5 linked regions of the Xenopus tropicalis genome follow. The protein of the gene in region 1 purifies or fractionates together with the protein of each later gene. This does not show direct contact. Links are inferred from orthologs where the notes say so. Each region holds a gene or a part of one and is shown on either strand. Other genes may lie near its edges.

The links. The genes of interacting proteins can lie anywhere in the genome.
Region 2: the proteins of mrgbp (region 1) and meaf6 purify together in Homo sapiens (co-immunoprecipitation; 4 studies listed by BioGRID and IntAct, counting the BioPlex papers as one, with this or other methods). This does not show direct contact. The link is inferred for Xenopus tropicalis from reciprocal best matches to the Homo sapiens genes MRGBP and MEAF6.
Region 3: the proteins of mrgbp (region 1) and vps72 purify together in Homo sapiens (co-immunoprecipitation; 5 studies listed by BioGRID and IntAct, counting the BioPlex papers as one, with this or other methods). This does not show direct contact. The link is inferred for Xenopus tropicalis from reciprocal best matches to the Homo sapiens genes MRGBP and VPS72.
Region 4: the proteins of mrgbp (region 1) and brd8 purify together in Homo sapiens (affinity purification with mass spectrometry; 10 studies listed by BioGRID and IntAct, counting the BioPlex papers as one, with this or other methods). This does not show direct contact. The link is inferred for Xenopus tropicalis from reciprocal best matches to the Homo sapiens genes MRGBP and BRD8.
Region 5: the proteins of mrgbp (region 1) and epc1 purify together in Homo sapiens (affinity purification with mass spectrometry; 6 studies listed by BioGRID and IntAct, counting the BioPlex papers as one, with this or other methods). This does not show direct contact. The link is inferred for Xenopus tropicalis from reciprocal best matches to the Homo sapiens genes MRGBP and EPC1.

What each region holds. Positions count from the first base shown.
Region 1 is NC_030686.2:2,538,002-2,542,091, forward strand, and holds the start of mrgbp (MRG/MORF4L binding protein), read right to left. Parts: upstream 2,801-4,090; 5' UTR 2,762-2,800; coding exon 2,623-2,761; intron 2,173-2,622; coding exon 2,051-2,172; intron 1,928-2,050; coding exon 1,846-1,927; intron 1,705-1,845; coding exon 1,630-1,704; intron 690-1,629; coding exon 505-689; 3' UTR 1-504.
Region 2 is NC_030678.2:86,132,697-86,136,196, reverse strand, and holds part of meaf6 (chromatin modification-related protein MEAF6), read left to right. Parts: intron 1-1,230; coding exon 1,231-1,346; intron 1,347-1,838; coding exon 1,839-1,926; intron 1,927-2,767; coding exon 2,768-2,813; intron 2,814-3,207; coding exon 3,208-3,400; intron 3,401-3,500.
Region 3 is NC_030684.2:137,929,488-137,932,167, forward strand, and holds the end of vps72 (vacuolar protein sorting-associated protein 72 homolog), read right to left. Parts: intron 2,365-2,680; coding exon 2,247-2,364; intron 2,157-2,246; coding exon 1,980-2,156; intron 1,891-1,979; coding exon 1,746-1,890; intron 1,495-1,745; coding exon 1,116-1,494; 3' UTR 501-1,115; downstream 1-500. UniProt on the Homo sapiens protein: Deposition-and-exchange histone chaperone specific for H2AZ1, specifically chaperones H2AZ1 and deposits it into nucleosomes.
Region 4 is NC_030679.2:47,835,073-47,838,572, forward strand, and holds part of brd8 (bromodomain-containing protein 8), read right to left. Parts: intron 3,427-3,500; coding exon 3,377-3,426; intron 1,181-3,376; coding exon 1,058-1,180; intron 563-1,057; coding exon 482-562; intron 380-481; coding exon 315-379; intron 1-314. UniProt on the Homo sapiens protein: May act as a coactivator during transcriptional activation by hormone-activated nuclear receptors (NR). Isoform 2 stimulates transcriptional activation by AR/DHTR, ESR1/NR3A1, RXRA/NR2B1 and THRB/ERBA2.
Region 5 is NC_030682.2:22,943,313-22,946,812, forward strand, and holds part of epc1 (enhancer of polycomb homolog 1), read left to right. Parts: intron 1-442; coding exon 443-590; intron 591-1,095; coding exon 1,096-1,257; intron 1,258-1,646; coding exon 1,647-1,736; intron 1,737-1,822; coding exon 1,823-1,971; intron 1,972-3,472; coding exon 3,473-3,500. UniProt on the Homo sapiens protein: Component of the NuA4 histone acetyltransferase (HAT) complex, a multiprotein complex involved in transcriptional activation of select genes principally by acetylation of nucleosomal histones H4 and H2A.

The sequences.
Region 1 (4,090 bases):
GAAAGTTCATTATAAATTCATTGAACTCCCTGAATCACTCGCAGGACAGCCCCCGAGACTCTATAGTGGGGAACAGCCAGAGCCCCCCATTCCCTGGAGGAACCTTCTGGGGGGGCCCCAGGCTGCTGACTGTGCCTAATTCATTATGAAAGAGCAAAGTGGAACGTTCCAAAGCTGATTTTTGGGGGGGGGGGGGTATAAAAAAGATGGTCAGCCCGTGGCTAATAGATTAGAGGGGTTGGGAAATGAATTGATTTATTCATCAGTAGATTAACGAGGGTTTGATTGGGCCACAGTCTGCCCAGCCCCCGCGGATGTAGATTCACTACCCCCCCCCCCCACATACCCCCTAAAAATATTTACATCCTTGAGATCTACAGTCTACTGGCTACTGCCCCAGAGCCGGGGCAGAATGTTCTGACTCTCACACAACCCATTAGTTCAGTTACACGCGGGCCGGTTCTGACCCCTTGGGAAGCCACACCCCTTCTCTCAGCCCCGCCCCTATGTGCGCCTGCGCTTGTTGGCGTTCGGGCTGGACGGGTTGCTGTTTGCGTTCTGCACTTTCTCGGTGAGCCGGCTCCGCTTGCGCTTGTCCCCCGATTCCTTGGAGCTGGATTCCGAGAGGGTCCGCTCTTTCCCGGGGGCTTTGTCCAGCCCTTTCCCAGAATTCCCAGAGTTGACAAAAGCTGCAGAGGAAGGAAATACCCATGAGTGAGGCATCTGGCAGGGCCTGTTGCCCCTTAAATCTACCCCTCCTCACGTATATACCCCACAGAAGCCCCCACCCAGGTTATGTTATCTGCCTGGGGCAACTGCTAAACTTGCTGCCCCCAGGTGGCTATACTGTTTGCCCCCTGCTAAATGCACTTATACAGGTACAGGAAGCTCCTCCCCTTGACAATGAGGATATCGATGACTGAAATGTTACTATGGCAACAGAGATGAAGTTCCGACCCCCTGAAGCCACCAAGAAACCACCCATTACCCACAATGCACTTGGAAGAATTGGTCAAGTCTCCCCTCCCCCTGCCGTGTTCCAATAGAGACAATGATAGAGGTGTATTTTTGGTTCCGGAAATGGGCTGAAACGGTTCTGGAAGACCCAAAACTTGCACCTTCGGGTGTTGTTCCCCTTTGAGTTAACGTTTAGTACGATGTAGAGAGGGATATTCTGAGACAGTTTGCAATTGGTCTTCATTTTTTATTATTTGTAGTTTTTTAGTTATTTAAGTTTGGAATTTTAGCAGCTAATTGGTTGCTGGGGTCCAAGTTACCTTAGCAACCAGGGAATGAGAGGCTGGTATATGAATAGGAGGAGGGGCTGAATAGAAAAAAAAGTTACAAAAACGTTACAATAAAACTGGAGCCTCACGGAGCAATAGGTTTCTGGCTGCCGGGGTCAGTGACCCCCATTTGAAAACTTGAAAGGAGGCAAATAATTCAAAAACTATAAAAAATAAATAAAGACCAATTGAAAAGTTGCTTAGAACTGATCATTGTGTAGCATGCTAAGAGTTAACTTAAAGGGGAACCGCCCCCTTAAGCGCTGCCCCTACAGACTCCTCAGGGGCCGAGGCTGGGAAGCTGAATAACAGATTGCAAGCTCCTCAGCCCAATATTTCCCACCTTCATCCGAGCCGCCGTGTATTTCCACTTCCTCCTTTACTTCCTCCTTTAGCTCCTCCTCCGACGTCACCTTCCCTGCAGAGAGGAGGAGGGGACACAGACCTTTAGGGCCCGGCTGTATGGGGGCCCCGGGGGGGGGCACAAGGTTAGTAATGGGGTACAGAGAGCATTAGGTCAGTACCCAGAGGGCAACTGGACCCAAAGGCTGACACTCACCCTCCTTCACCTCCTGAATCAGATCCTCCGGGAGAATGAAGTTCTTCTCCGAGTTTGGGAAGGGGAGAATCTCAGACTCGTGCTGCAACGGGAAAGTAACGGCAGGAGGTTAGGGGGGCGCAGGGGTGGAGCAAACAGCAGGGGGCGGGGCTACCTCACCTGGAAGTGTAAGGAAATGCCCCCCCCATTCCCCGGGGCCACCTACCAAGGCCTGCATATCGTACATGCTCCGCAGGTGCTCCCAGATGACTCGGGATGAGACCTGGCGCCCGATGTTCTGGCTGAACTTGTCCCGGATGCAGATCATGTGGAAGTGGCGGTTCACGCCTGCGAGGGGCAAAAAGAAGAGTCAGTTGTGCCCTGCGTCTGCCAAAGGGTTAATGAGTCCCGTAGTCACATGGTTATTAGGGTTCCCCCTAGTTCTGCCCAAATACCCCCCAAATAGAATGTATTTATACACAGGGGGCAAATCTGCAGCAAAAGCCCAGAGCAACCAATCAGCGATTCTCTTTCAGCCGCAGAGAACAATAGAAACAAAGATCCCATTGGTTGCTATAGGTTACTGCCCAGGACTTTACTTTTGCGGTGTAATTACACTCACTGGTACAATAACCCCAAAGTGCCCGATATAGTGCCCCTACCCCCCCAGGTACAGACACCCAGAGCCCCTCATCCCGCCCCGGGCCGCCATGTCCCGACGCCACCCGGACCGGAAGCCCCCCCTTCCCGGGTTCCCAGATTACGCGAGTCCGGGGATGGGCCGCGGCCTCCACTCACCGACCGGCTTGTGGCCGAGCATCGCATGGAACAGACACACCTCAACCTCCGGGCTCCACAGCACCGGCTCTTCCGCGGGGGGGGCAGGGGGAGGCTCGGGTTTTTCCACAGTAGTTTCCCCGGCCTCTAAATCCCCCATCTCTGCAGCCAATGGGGGGAAACTGCGGGGGACAGCGACTCCTAGCGGACACCATGGGTGTTGCACTGTAGCGCAATATCTATAGCAGCACAACAGGGGGCGTCTATTGGGCAGCAGCCTCTTCCGCTCATAACGGTATCCAGCAGCGGCACTGTGCCTAGTGCAATAGCGCCATCTAGTGCTCACCAGCAGTACTGCACTCAGCCAAACGACAGCGCAGCGAACGACTGATGTTACACATGAGCAGCGCCACCTAGTGTTCCCCAACCGCACTGCGCGCATCTGCAGCTTCCATAGCGACTCTCTGTGGCCAGCGGCAGCCAAACATGTTATTACTTTGAGCGCTATCAGGCTGGAACAGTAAGCGCTGCACTTACACAGCGGCACCCAGTGGGCACGTTTGGTAACTGCACCCAGCTGATATATTACCTTTAGTATTAAAGGAACAGTAACATTAATTAAAGTGTTTTAAAGTAATTAAAATATAATGTGCTGTTGCTCTGCAAAAAACTGGTGTTTTTGCTACAGAAAAGCTACTATATAAATAAGCAGCTGTGTAGCCCCGGGGGCAGCCATTCCTGCACCGGTACAGCTGGGGTGTTTGCTACAGAAACCCTACTATAGTTTATATAAATACCCCGCTGTGTAGCCCCGGGGGCAGCCGTTCAAGCTGGAAAAAAGGAGAAAAGGCACAGGTTACTAAGCAGATAACAGATAAACACCCACTATATGGGGCTTATCTACTAGTTAACTGCTATGTAACCTGTGCCTTTTCTCCTTTTTTCCAGCTTGAACGGCTGCCCCCGGGGCTACACAGCGGGGTATTTATATAAACTATAGTAGGGTTTCTGTAGCAAACACCCCAGCTGTACCAGTGCAGGAATGGCTGCCCCCGGGGCTACACAGCGGGGTATTTATATAAACTATAGTAGGGTTTCTGTAGCAAACACCCCAGCTGTACCAGTGCAGGAATGGCTGCCCCCGGGGCTACACAGCGGGGTATTTATATAAACTATAGTAGGGTTTCTGTAGCAAACACCCCAGCTGTACCAGTGCAGGAATGGCTGCCCCCGGGGCTACACAGCGGGGTATTTATATAAACTATAGTAGGGTTTCTGTAGCAAACACCCCAGCTGTACCAGTGCAGGAATGGCTGCCCCCGGGGCTACACAGCGGGGTATTTATATAAACTATAGTAGGGTTTCTGTAGCAAACACCCCAGCTGTACCAGTGCAGGAACGGCTGCCCCCGGGGCTACACAGCGGGGTATTTATATAAACTATAGTAGGGTTTCTGTAGCAAACACCCCAGCTGTACCAGTGCAGGAAC
Region 2 (3,500 bases), on another chromosome or scaffold:
GGAGTACTTTTCAAACTATGTTGTTGGAAAGCAAGAATGTCAAACAAATTTCTAACCAATTAATTATGTACTTGGCTAAGCAAACTTTTTGATTTAAGGATCCGTAAAAGTGTTACCCCATCAATGGACAGCAGTCATATGTCCCAACAGCTATCCTGGATGGGTCTTAATGCAGTGTTTTATCTTGGTGACTTCACAACTTGCTTTTAACTGAATGTTTCCCCATCATATAAAAAAAAACTGTGATTATTCACATAATTACGAATACAACACTGTTTTTCATGCAATATTGTTTCCATGTGCCATGATCCAAATATAGTAACTTTCAGTAGCGTAACTACAGAGAAAGCAGACCCTGTTTTTCTCTATAGCCACTCTTGTCCCAGGAAAGTTTGTGTGCACACTGCTGATAGTTTGCAGTGGGTGCGCAAATGTTCCTGGGACAAGAGCACGCACTTGAGAGCAACTTTTGACAACAGCAATTGAAAACACTGCTTTTTACTTTGTTGGGGTGAGCTGAATTTGAAAAGCACCATTATCCATTTTGTTGGCAGCATGTTCTATGTGGAAATTACCAAGGTTTTAATGCAGTGGTAAAGGTGGCATTTGGATCCCTGCCCCATATGCCACAAGTCAACTGACTCTGCTTCTAAGTCTCACAAATGCATCAGCATGTAATTGTATACTATATGGTACCAATATTTACGAATCATATGTTAAAATCAACACACCACCCATGTAAAACTGTTATGTGCTACGCTTCTGTTCAGTAAATTAGAACTGTATGGATCCTTATTACCCAATTACTGAGTGGGTGGGCATTTTATGCTGATACATGTGGTTGCCATTGAAACTACTTGAGTATCTGAGGTGATACATTAGAAGCAATTACAGTGTAATATCGGTCCCTTTAGCCTACTTGAGAAAGTCTAACCCCGTATGCAATAAAAGATGTAGCAGTTACCCATAGCAACCAATAAGATTAGAAGTGTGCTTTTAAACAGGTGACCAGTAAATTCTACCTGCTAATTGGTTGCTATGGTTTACTTCTCTTGGGCAAACTTAGTGCACTTTATTACATAACCCCCTAAATCTTTGACTTCTGTCACAATATGAATCATGTAACAGACCTGCAAATGTTTTTTAATCTGTGTATATACCAACTGTCCTAATATTGTGTCCATAAATATTTAGCATTTTTAAAAAGTTGTGATTTGTCTCTCTCCATAGGAGACACTTGCAAATTTAGAACGGCAGATCTATGCTTTTGAAGGGAGTTACTTGGAAGACACACAGATGTATGGTAACATTATCAGAGGTTGGGACCGTTACCTAACAAATCAAAAGTAAGTTTGGATTAGTAAGCTTCTGTTTTTGTTTAACCCTATATGCCCTTTGCTTTAGAAATTTGATGAAAAGATTAATACAACTTAATCTGATTCACTTACTGTTTAACAGACTACAGTAGTCCCCCAACCACAACTACATTTACTGCTATAACTCACTTTATTAAAGATCTGGGATTTATGGTCAATGCTTTAATATGCTTTTTTTTCCAGTTAATGTGCATTACAATTTATGCTGCAATATGAAGCAAAATATGAACTCCTGACAGTATTTAGAAAAAGAATGCATTGAAGTGCACTGTAGTTTAGAATGTTATTTGTTCCTTCTGAAACTGGCAATACATGTAATTTCATAAAATTTTGTCTATGAATATGAACAGTATGGTTGCCAATAATCATACACTATGGATACCTATGAGAAAGGGCTTGCTGGAGAATAGTGCCAAATATATTTTTATATGTGAATCTAGTAAACAAAATTTTCTATTGCAGGAATTCAAACAGTAAGAATGATAGGAGGAACAGAAAGTTCAAAGAAGCAGAACGACTTTTTAGCAAATCTTCCGTAACATCAGCTGCTGTAAGTACAATTTAAGAAAGCTTTCATGGTTAGTAATGAATGAACATTAAAGAATAAGTAAACCTTTTATTTTATAATCCCTAAAATGACTAGCTAGCTCCGCTGTGGTATTCTGCATCTGTAGGTCAGCTTTACAGAGACACTTTTCATTGAAATAGACTCAAAGGGGAGGGAGCAAGGATGGGGCTCATTGGAAGGCAGTGGATGGGGGGCTTTTGTCTAGGGGAGGTTTAGTTCTTCTTTAATGAAAAGCACAGTTTTCATACCACAGTCTTACTGCCACCACTGCATGGGTTTACAATTTGGCGCATTTCATTAATTACTAACAGGCAGATGGACAATGGTATTTTGTTTACTGTTGTTTTCTTCTGGATGGCATCACTAGACTAAACACTCCGTGTGCCATAGCCCTTAGAATGGCCAACTTATAAGGCCTGATTATGACCATCTTTTCATTTGCATGGTAATCTTGTTTTGGTAATTACAGTTTCAGTCTATGTACAGATTTTTTTAGGGCATAGCCACATCGAAAAACATTTTGGATCTCTGGGTTCTTGTACAGGTCATTTATGTAGAACTGTGCTGTCCAACTTATAATAAAAAGTGGACCAATTAGGTGGTAACCAGTAAGTTTGTGGACCAGATTATAATTCAATTATGACATAAAAAATCTGTGGGGTGCATATGTACGCCAGTGCCTTAAATTAATTTGGAATGCCACATTCAGGTGTTGAATCTCCAGTTAGACGAGTCCTTCTGTTCAACTTGCTCATATTATATTCTAAGCTGCTATAGAAAGTGCCTTATTGCTCTATAACAAATATTTGTGTTTACACTTTAGGCTGTCAGTGCATTGGCAGGTGTTCAAGACCAGCTGATTGAGAAACGTGAGTGTAATGTTTATATGTTTTTTTGCTTTGTATTTGTCTTCAAGTGAGATGAGAGCATAATTTAATGTGTCATGCATCTTTTATTGCTGATTTACTTTCAGATACTGTCTTGCGCAGGATCTCCACTATTCTTTCTTTTTGCCAAAACCTTCCTTATACTTACATCATACTCCAACATGCTCTGAAATGTTAAAGTAATCTTTGAGCTGTTATTTATCAGTATCATAAGACTTTAAAAAGGGTTTGTATATCATTACATTTTATGTTGGCAATGGTAGGTAGCCCATCTGTACCATGTATGCATTAGCTGCAGTTATAGAATTGTGTGTTTTCATTTTCGTGGATTTTTTTGACTGCATCTTATGCGGTCTTGCTCTGTTTTTTTTTTTAGGGGAGCCAGGCAGCGGAACAGAGAGCGACAACTCTCCAGATTTTCAGAACCAAGAAAATGAGCCTAGCCAAGATGATACAGAGGATTTAGATGGTTCCCTGTCTGGTGTTAAACCTCAAAAAGCAGCTTCTTCAGCCAATTCTGGTGGCCATCACAGCAGTCACAAGAAACGCAAGAATAAAAATAGGCACAGGTTGGCTGAAAAATTGCTTAGAACTGTAATTTGCTAAAACTGTATTTAAGGACACTATTTTTATTTTTTAATAAAAATGATTTAGAAGTTTTACTGTTTC
Region 3 (2,680 bases), on another chromosome or scaffold:
GGCAAACTTAGGGGGCTGTTCCTGCTGAATTGTACTTAGTACAGGGGAATCCCTATGTGCCATAGTTTTATGGTATCTCTCTGTACAGGCTATGGGCAAACTTAGGGGGCTGTTCCTGCTGAATTGTGCTTAGTACAGGGGAATCCCTATGTGCCATAGTTTAATGGTATATCTCTGTACAGGCTATGGGCAAACTTAGGGGGCTGTTCCTGCTGAATTGTGCTTAGTACAGGGGAATCCCTATGTGCCATAGTTTTATGGTATCTCTCTGTACAGGCTAAGAGCAAACTTAGGGGGCTGTTCCTGCTGAATTGTGCTTAGTACAGGGGAATCCCTATGTGCCATAGTTTTATGGTATCTCTCTGTACAGGCTATGGGCAAACTTAGGGGGCTGTTCCTGCTGAATTGTGCTTAGTACAGGGGAATCCCTATGCTGCCACTGGCGCCCTGTACTTTTACTCAGCATGAAAAGCCATAATAAAACTCACAACTAACTACAATTCACAGAAATTACTAATCAAATTTATTATAATGTACATAACAGACAGTCCCCCCCCCCCCCCCCCAGTGCTCTAGGAGCATTTAACCAACAAAACATCTCTGGAAACCAAAATGCAAACTGACTTCAATTTTTATAGTGTGTTATCGGACCTGGTGTGTGGTTGCTAGGGTAATCAAGCCCTAGCAACCAGATAGTAGCCTATAGAGAGAGCTCAGCCCTATATAACATACAGTACGTCAGTCAGGTTAAAGCCACCCTGGTAACTGCATCTGTGCCTTTGCCCCACCCCCCATACTGTTTGTTTAGCTGCTATTGGAAGCAGGTGTCCCAGTCCCCTGTGTGTGTTTGGGGTGGGCGGGGTTTACCATTTGGTAATTTGAACTGAATGGCGGCCAATTACATTACTGCTAAGGGGAGCAGCCCCCCCCCCCCCAAATGTGAGGGGGCTCATTAAGAAATTCAACCCCCTGGCCCCTCCCATTTCTTCTACTCCAGGAATCAGAGGAGCAATGTGGCCCCTGTAGATGTTCTACAGCTTCCCAATGGGAATAATCCTTTGTACATAACTCTCTCAGAGTGCTGTAATGGCCGGCAGACGCTAGAGGGCGCTGTATCAGGCGCTTGGCACGCTCTGCTTGATAATGATTTTCTGCCTCGTGTTGCGTTGGGCGGCGTCAGCAGAACTGGGGGCGGGGCCCATAGCGGCCGCCATGGCGGCGTTAGGCAGGCCGTGCGTGGTGATGTATTTTTTGTAAGCGTCCCGGATGATTTTGAAGGCTTTGGCGTTATAGTAGGGGATGTCTGTGATGGGGTCTCGGTACTGGGCCGGCTTATGGGTAACGGGGCAGATGTCCCGGACTGAGAACTTGCCCTGCTTGGTCCTGGGGAAGAATCGCTCGAAGGATTCGTCGTCGCTGAATGTTATGAAAGTGCGGGAGCATTTGCCCGCGGACGAAACTTGGGCGCCGTCCCCTGTCTGCTCCTGATCCAGCCTGTGGCCCCCAACACATAAAAGAAAAGCAACAAGAGAAAACGTTGTAATGGTTAAGAAAGTGAGTATCTGGTTGCTAGGGTCACTGACCCTAACAACCAGGCGTTTGCTTCAATATCAAGGATGGAAATGTAATGTACACAGGGCAGCATCACATGACTGATGGGTTTGCCCACTGAGGATGCCCCTTGTTACACATAACAAATGGGAAGAGGGAATTGTACAAAGTAGGAGCTGCCATGTTGCACCTACCCTTCCACATCCACATTCTCCTCCTTCACGTTGAGCTCGGTGATGAGGGGCATGACCAGCGAGTGGTGGCGGATGGTGGGGCCGACGCACCGTCGCTTCTTGTGGACCTGCTTCTTCCTGTCGGCTTCCAGGCGCTCGTAATTCTCTGTGGGAGAAAGGGAGAAACCATTGGAGCACGGGGGGGGGGGGGGGGAGGGCACCGGAGCGGGACGGGGAGTGGCGGTACTCACGCACCTAGGGAGCGGATGTTGATCTCCTCGGTGATCTTGGCTTCTTCCAGCAGCTCCACCTGGGTCAGCGGTCGGTCCTGGTGGGGCCCCTTCTTTTTCTTGGACTGGATCTGCCGCTCTTTTACTCGCAGGAAAGTCTGCCGCGTGTGCTCCGTCGTCGATTGGCGCATTTGTTTGCGGCCTGAGAGTTTAAAGGGGAAGACTAGTTAGGAGAGCCAATCGGATTCTGAGCATAGGAAACCCCCTAGCTCACTGCCCGCGGCATACTCACTGTCTACTGCGTCCTCTGGTGTCTCCTGAGGGTGAGGCTTTTCTGGGCGGCTTTTTGCTGCACTGCTGGGAGGGGCATCTGCTTTCTTGGGCTTTGGTTTAAGGAGTTGAATTGGCTCCTGTTTGGGGAATACAAGGAAATATTAAAAAAGTAGCATAGCCTGGCTATAAAAGAAAGGCTGCATGGCTCTCAGTAAGTACAAGACACACAGATATAAAAGAAAGGCTGCATGGCTCTCAGTAAGTACAAGACACACACGGCTATAAAAGAAAGGCTGCATGGCTCTCAGTAAGTACAAGACACACACAGATATAAAAGAAAGGCTGCATGGCTCTCAGTAAGTACAAGACACACACAGATATAAAAGAAAGGCTGCATGGCTCTCAGTAAGTACAAGACACACACAGATATAAAAGAAAGGCTGCATGGCTCTC
Region 4 (3,500 bases), on another chromosome or scaffold:
ATGTCCAAATTGGCTAGCAGAAAGAGCCCCTAATAACCTGCCCTCAGTCCATGTCCAAAACTATTAAAGTGCTGGGCACATTGGGTTGCATGAGCAGAGCCCCTAGGAGAGTTGCCAACTGCTTTTCTCTTTTTGTGCCCTTTTCTCCTGAAAGTTAGATTTAATCCTGAAGTGCCTGTGTCCCTCCAGAGAGGATAATGGAGTATCATCAAAACTTGTAGAAAAGCCCAGATGGCTGTATCTTCCCAGTGTAAACTTCAGCTTGTAAAATATACAGTTGTCACTATCTACCTAGCAATTCCTTACAATTTTACCTTGATATGCAGCCTCTGTAGCCTTTCTCTTCATTTCTGCCTCCTCTTCTTCTTGCTTCTTTTTGCTACAGTGAACAAAGCAAAACTGAATTTGTTAGTAATGTTTTCAAAATGAGCCTACACTTACTAATGTCTGAATGTAAGTGTGCAGTATAAAGAGAACCCACGCCAAAGTCTCATTCCACAGGTCTTCCAGCTTGCTGTCCAAATGACCACTCTGAATAAGTTCTGCTTCTTTCTTCAGTTTCCTATACACACAAAGATGAAACTAATATAGTACATAAAAATAAAACAAACTGTTGGGGTTAAGGGAAAACTTCACCTTTCACTTCAATTTTGCTTAATAAAAGAAAACATAATCCAAAGCAATTTTTCAATATACAGTTACTATGATTGTTGTAAAGTTATTTGTTATTGTGAATGCTACTTAAGGCCTTTATATGTTCAAATTCTGACTCTTGAAACAATGTAGCAAAATACAGCTGATTAATGCGCTTGGAAAGAACTAACTTCTGCTACATTTTTCCAAAGGTAGAACTAGAGAACAGAAAATACTGCTTTTTCAATTGCAATTACAAAATAACTTTAAAACTATTTAACCTTGCTTAAAATGAATTAATTTTTTCAGAATTCAAAATAACCTTTAAGTGCTGCACAGTTAATCTGATTATTTTCCGTTTGTAACAAATATTGTTGCAAGGCCAGCAACTGTATGTATATGTTTATTTATTGTGCAACTTCACCTGTATTTCTCCTGAGTCTCTTTAATCATTTTTTTCAGTTCTTCAATTCTTTCAGCTGTCAGTTTCCGTACAATAACATCTTCCACAGTCTCCACTACTTCACCTCTTTCCCCTCTTTTTCGCCTGGACAGTAAATAAATACAATTGGCACAAACTTACTTCCTAGGTTTACATAAAGAAAATAACAACTATTGTATCATGTTCTTCTGCAAAAATGCAAATGATTCCCTAAACCAACAATGCTACTTGAAAATAAAATCCAGATAGAAGAATAGAAACATGAAAACCACAGATTGTCTTCTGTTAATCCCACATGGGGCGTATTCTCAGCAAGCCGGAAACCGTTTGCCGAGAATACACCCCGCTACTGTAAATTCAGCCTACCTGTGCCTGCACCCGAATTAATGGAATACGCTCGGTTGCAGGCACATGTAGCTGATATCCGCCAAAAATATGAAGATTTTTTAGTGGATATCAGCTACATGTACCTGCACCTGAGCATATTTCATTCATTCGGGTGCAGGCACAGGTAGGGGCCTTTTAGAGCATATGGCGCATATTCTCGGCAAGCATTTTTCGGCTTGCCGAAAATACGCTCCATACGCTACGTGTGGCATTAGCCTAAGCCTCTGGTAATTTCCCTTCTTAATTCAAACAGCCCTGTGTTTCTTAAAGAAACAGTAATACCAAAAATGAAAGTAATTAAAATAGAATCCTTTACTGTTGCCATGCACTGGTAAAAGCTGTGTGTTTGCTTCAGACTACTATACTTTATATAAAAAAGCGGTTGTATAACCATGGGGCAGCCTTTAAGGCTGGAAAAAAGGCACAGCTTACATAGCAAATAACAGATAAGCTCTGTAGAATAGGACGGTGTTAAACTTATCTATGCTATGTAACCTGCGCCATTTAGCCCTATTTTAGTTTGAATAGCTGCCCCCATGGCTACACAACAGCTTTGTTTCTATGAATTATAGTAGTGTTTCTGAAGCAAACATAAAACAGGGCAACAGTATATAATACATTCATTTTTTGGTGTTACTGTTCCTTTAAAAAGGTCACACTTGATCCATCCTGCCTATCTAACTACCTCTATCCCCGCTTCTTCTACCACTAACCTTTAATCTTCTGAAACATCTTGTCTTTTCTCTAATACTAATTTTCTCAGCACCCCCAATCTGCTAGACCCTATGCAGTCTGGTTTTCAACATGAGACACTAAGACAGTCTTATGTAGTGTTGCAAATTATCTCCAAACTGTCAGGGCCAAAGGACCCTATTCTAATCTCATTCTCCTGCATGTATCTACCTTTGATACAGCTGACTATCCCATTCTAATGCAAAGTCTCTATTCTTTTAACATCCAGATCAAGCAGCATTGTTGTTCTCTTCCTACCTCTCTAACAGCTGCTCTAACAAGTTCTCCCTGTTTCAGCTTAGTGTGTGGGTGCCCCGGGACTCTAAACATGGCCCATTGTTATTCTCCCTGTACATCTTTAGGAGACCTTATCTCCTAAATTGGCCTTAAATATTACTTTTATGCAGATGACACCCAGATATACATAGACGCTCCTTCACTAGTCACTGACATTCAGACCCAGGTCTCTAACTGAGTGCTACTGATTTTCTCCTGGATGAACCAATGCCACTGTAAACTGAACCTAGCTATATTAGTTAATGGTCTTTTCAACCAAACTTGTCCTTGTCCTCCTCCTTTAACCCTGTTGATTTGATTCACTGCCTGGGGTTATTATGGTATAGTCCTTTTCCTTCTATAATCATATTAATGCCAAGACATACAGCATATTTATCCGTAATAGCTCTGTAATATTGCAAAGATATGCCCTTTCTTTCACAAATAACAGCTAAAACACTAATCCATGCCACAATCCAAGTCTGCACACACCCCTTTGTATGACATCTGTTTTATTATTCTGGTCCCTGAGCAAGTGAAAATGTAAATAACTGCCAATTGACATGGAAAATCTTAGACAGTGCAAACATAATATAGAATAAGAGGCCTCACAAGTTTAGGCCTGCAGGCTAGATATGGTTATTAAAAGCATTTTATGGTCCTCTATGATATAACAGTTTTAATGTAGTCCGCCACAATAAGTATATTGTATGTCGGATAACTATATAGATAACTGATCATAAGGCAGGAAGGGCCAAACGATCATCAAAAAATCAAATTTAGTTAAATATAATTCTTCTAGCATTATACCACTTTGAATACAATATCACAACCGTTCTGCATTTTGTTTATAGCAAGCAGTGCCATTTCAAGTGTAAAATTAAAATGTAAATAATTTACACTCACTTTGGGGTTTCTGTAGTTTCCAACAGTTCAGAATATTGTGAGGCACAGTGCTGAAAAAAATAAAAAGATCAATTGAAGAAAGATTACATCAAAGCAGTGTATCTTAATAATATCTATTTTTTTT
Region 5 (3,500 bases), on another chromosome or scaffold:
CCCCATTTAAGTTCTAGCCTGTACTTGTTGCTTTTGCTACAGGTGCCTGACTCTGTGCTGAAGTTCCTTGCTTATTTAAATTATTTCTAGAGTGCTGTGCAATATGATTTGTAACTGGTTTTTAAACATAACCAGCTATATGAGCACAATGTTGGATGAGGAGCTCCACCTACTGGTTGGCACAGGCAAATTCACCTCAGCGCAATAACACAACTTTATTCAGCCTGATTACAGCTTGAAACGGTTTAAGTAGGGTACAGTGTACATCTGGTGGCTTCTGTTAATATTAAATGCTTACTACTATACTATTTAATTTTTTGGGGGAAAAAATAGCCAAAATAGGGTTAGCATACATTTTTGAAACCATTTTTATTGATTTTTTTTTTTATTTTTTTTAAATTAAGCACTATTTTAGTAGCCGTTTTTTTCTCTCTTTATTCAGGTATAACTTAGGGGACTTTAATGGCGAAATTCTATCAGAGGTTATGGCACATCGTCAACCATTGAAGCCCACCTATACTATCCCCCTCATGCCTATTTCTCCTATTCCATTTTTACATAAAGAAACAATAGATATTAAAGTTAATAAGGTAAGATTTGTTTATTTCACATAGTGTTTTTAACATTACCTTAATACTGGATTTTGTGGGTTCATGAATTTACAGACCATTCAGGAAACATGTTTCATTTATTAGATATATGCAAACCACTTGACCTGGTTAACTGCCTTGTCCTACTGTGACAAATTAAACGTGACCTTAGAATACAGCCACTCAGCACGGGAAACAATTTAAATACAACATCATCGAAGCTACAGGATAAAAAGATAGAGAAAAAGAATTATGCACTCACCATTTTTATTTCTCCGTATAAAGAGAATATATCTTTATAGTGGCTAATATATAATGTTTTGTATTGGTTTCCTGGTGAAGGCACATTTTGTGGAACTAGTGATAAGCGAGGATATTAATTGTGAGCAGTTCACATAAGCAAAGCACAGTTCTATCTTATAAATGGCGATTATTATAGACTGATGTCTGTAACAGTTATTAAATAACTGAATTCATATTTTAAGACCATTCAAATTCATTTTAGCAAGAAAAATCTGATGCTGTTCGACCGAAAAGAAAATATGAGAAGAAGCCCAAAGTCTTACCTGCTGCTCAACAGACAAGTCCTGCTGCACTGCCAGTGTTTAATGCTAAGGATCTGAATCAGTATGACTTTCCCAGCTCTGATGATGAACCTCTCTCCCAGGTATGCTGCTTTTATTATTTCAGGCTTCAATAAGTGTAATTGTGCCTCTTGAGACAGTCCTTTTGGGGGACATGCAGTGGTTGTTGGGGGCTAAGTAATGTAGGTGAGATTTGAGGTAAGGTTTTAGTTATTGGCTAGACACTCCTAAAACTGTTGCACACCTAATGTTAGTCTGTCTATAAAGATGTACGCACACACCGGTTTCTTGCATAAGTTTTATTAAGTGTTACATCACATTCCCGATTACATCCGCTAGTGAAATAATAAGATCTTCACAAAGCAGTGAAAGGCAAATGTTCAGGAAAGCTGTCAAAATAAGTCATTGCAATGAGTAATAGGAAATGTTGAGCATGATCTTCACTGGTGTTTTTTTCTGGTTTCTTTACCAGGTCATGTCTGGCTCCTCAGAGGCTGAGGAAGAAAATGATCCAGATGGTCCATTTGCTTTCCGTAGGAAAGCTGGCTGTAATTACTATGCTGTAAGTAACAGTCCTCATGCCTATACACAGACAAGTGGTGTTTGTTGTATACTAATAATAAAGGTTTTCCTCCTTGTAATTCCAAGCCACATTTGGACCAAACTGGCAACTGGCCATGGTGTAGTCCTGAGGAAGGAGGTCTTGGAGAAATTCGCTATAGATACTGCCTCACTACTCTCACTGTTCCCCGCAAGTGTATTGGATTTGCGCGAAGACGGGTTGGACGTGGTGGAAGGTAAGATATCTTGTTAAATACATTATAGCTGCTTTATCATCTGTAAGGTTACCGTAGTGACGGCTATATACTTTGTTGGCCCAGGTAATTACAGATGAGGTAATTTACCTAAAAATCTGGTTGTGCCAATGTGTGTCTCCTCTTTTAAAGGAGAAGGAAAGGTAAAAACCAAGTAAGCTTAATCAGAAAGGTCCATGTAAGTACACCTCACTCACATAAAAGCTGCACTGAGTCTTCTATCAAAAGAAACTCAGAAATTCTTTTTTTTTTATTGTTTAAACTTGTTCTTTGCTATCTCACTTCCTCTCGGAAAAAAATCCTTCAGAGCAGGGCACAAGTCTGTGCACCTCGCTCCCCCTCCCAACCGTGCTGTGTAATCTAAGCTACCAGCAGCTGGAGCTGCAGCACGGAAACTACTGAGACCAAGCTAAATTGGCAGCTACTATCTCAAAAAAAACAGAGGGAGCTTCTAGGGCTGTTTACTCTGATATGGTAAAGCTTTTTGCAGAACAAATATAGCGTTCTAGCTTGCACTAATGTGGCGAAAATATTTGCTGTAAAATGTCAAAATACCTTTCCTTGTCCTTTAAGGCTGGGCCAGCTAGGCATGAGAGCAAGTGGCAGAATGTGAAGCACCATATATCATTTATTTTGTCTGGAACTGCACCACATCCCTTTACATTTTATACTTTCAAAACTTTGTTTCATGCACCTACCTATGTTTAATTTAGAAGAAGATTTTAAATATTGCTCTATTTCCTATTTTTTAGAAACAGAATGCTTAAGTGTAATTAATACTGTCTCTTATTAAAGGACATGTAAACTCCACACACACAAATTTAATCAGTGAACAGCCTCTTTGAAATCTTTCAATACCTGCCACACTGGTTGTCCAGAGGTTAATAGTAAGGCTGCAACATCCCCTTAATCACTTAGATTTCCTTCTCCTCCTGTAACCCACTCAGCCCCCGCCCTCAGGAATTTGCTTTGGCTGTTGGCTTGTGGACATGCTCAGATTACTAAACACGCCCCCCAGTCTAGCAGCCAGTGAAGAGATGGCATTGCTGCTTCCTATAGAAACTCAGCTCTAGCTGTCTGCTTCAATTGTTTTCTCCTGAGCTCAGCTTTACCATTACAGTGCTCAAACAAAGCAGAACTTTTATCAAAGACATTTGTGCCTGTGTGAGCCTGTATCCTTGATGAAATGTATGCTGAATAAGAGTTTTTGTGTGTGTAGGCTGTTTGCAGATTTAAATGTATCAGAGAAATAATGGCCACCAGGTGAAAGCTGCTATTTGGTTTAGGAAAATGTGATGGTGCTGGCAAACGGAGGGGATATATGCAGTACAAATGATGCCATTTGGGTGGGGAAAATGTGCCCAACTGATAGACATTGTAGGCAAATGTAGGCTTTACATGTCCTTTAATGCAATCAAAGCTTGTTTTCAGTCTGTTTATAATTTGAGGGTTAAACTCTATTTCCCAATCTTTGTTTCTACAGGGTGCTCCTTGACAGAGCCCATTCAGAC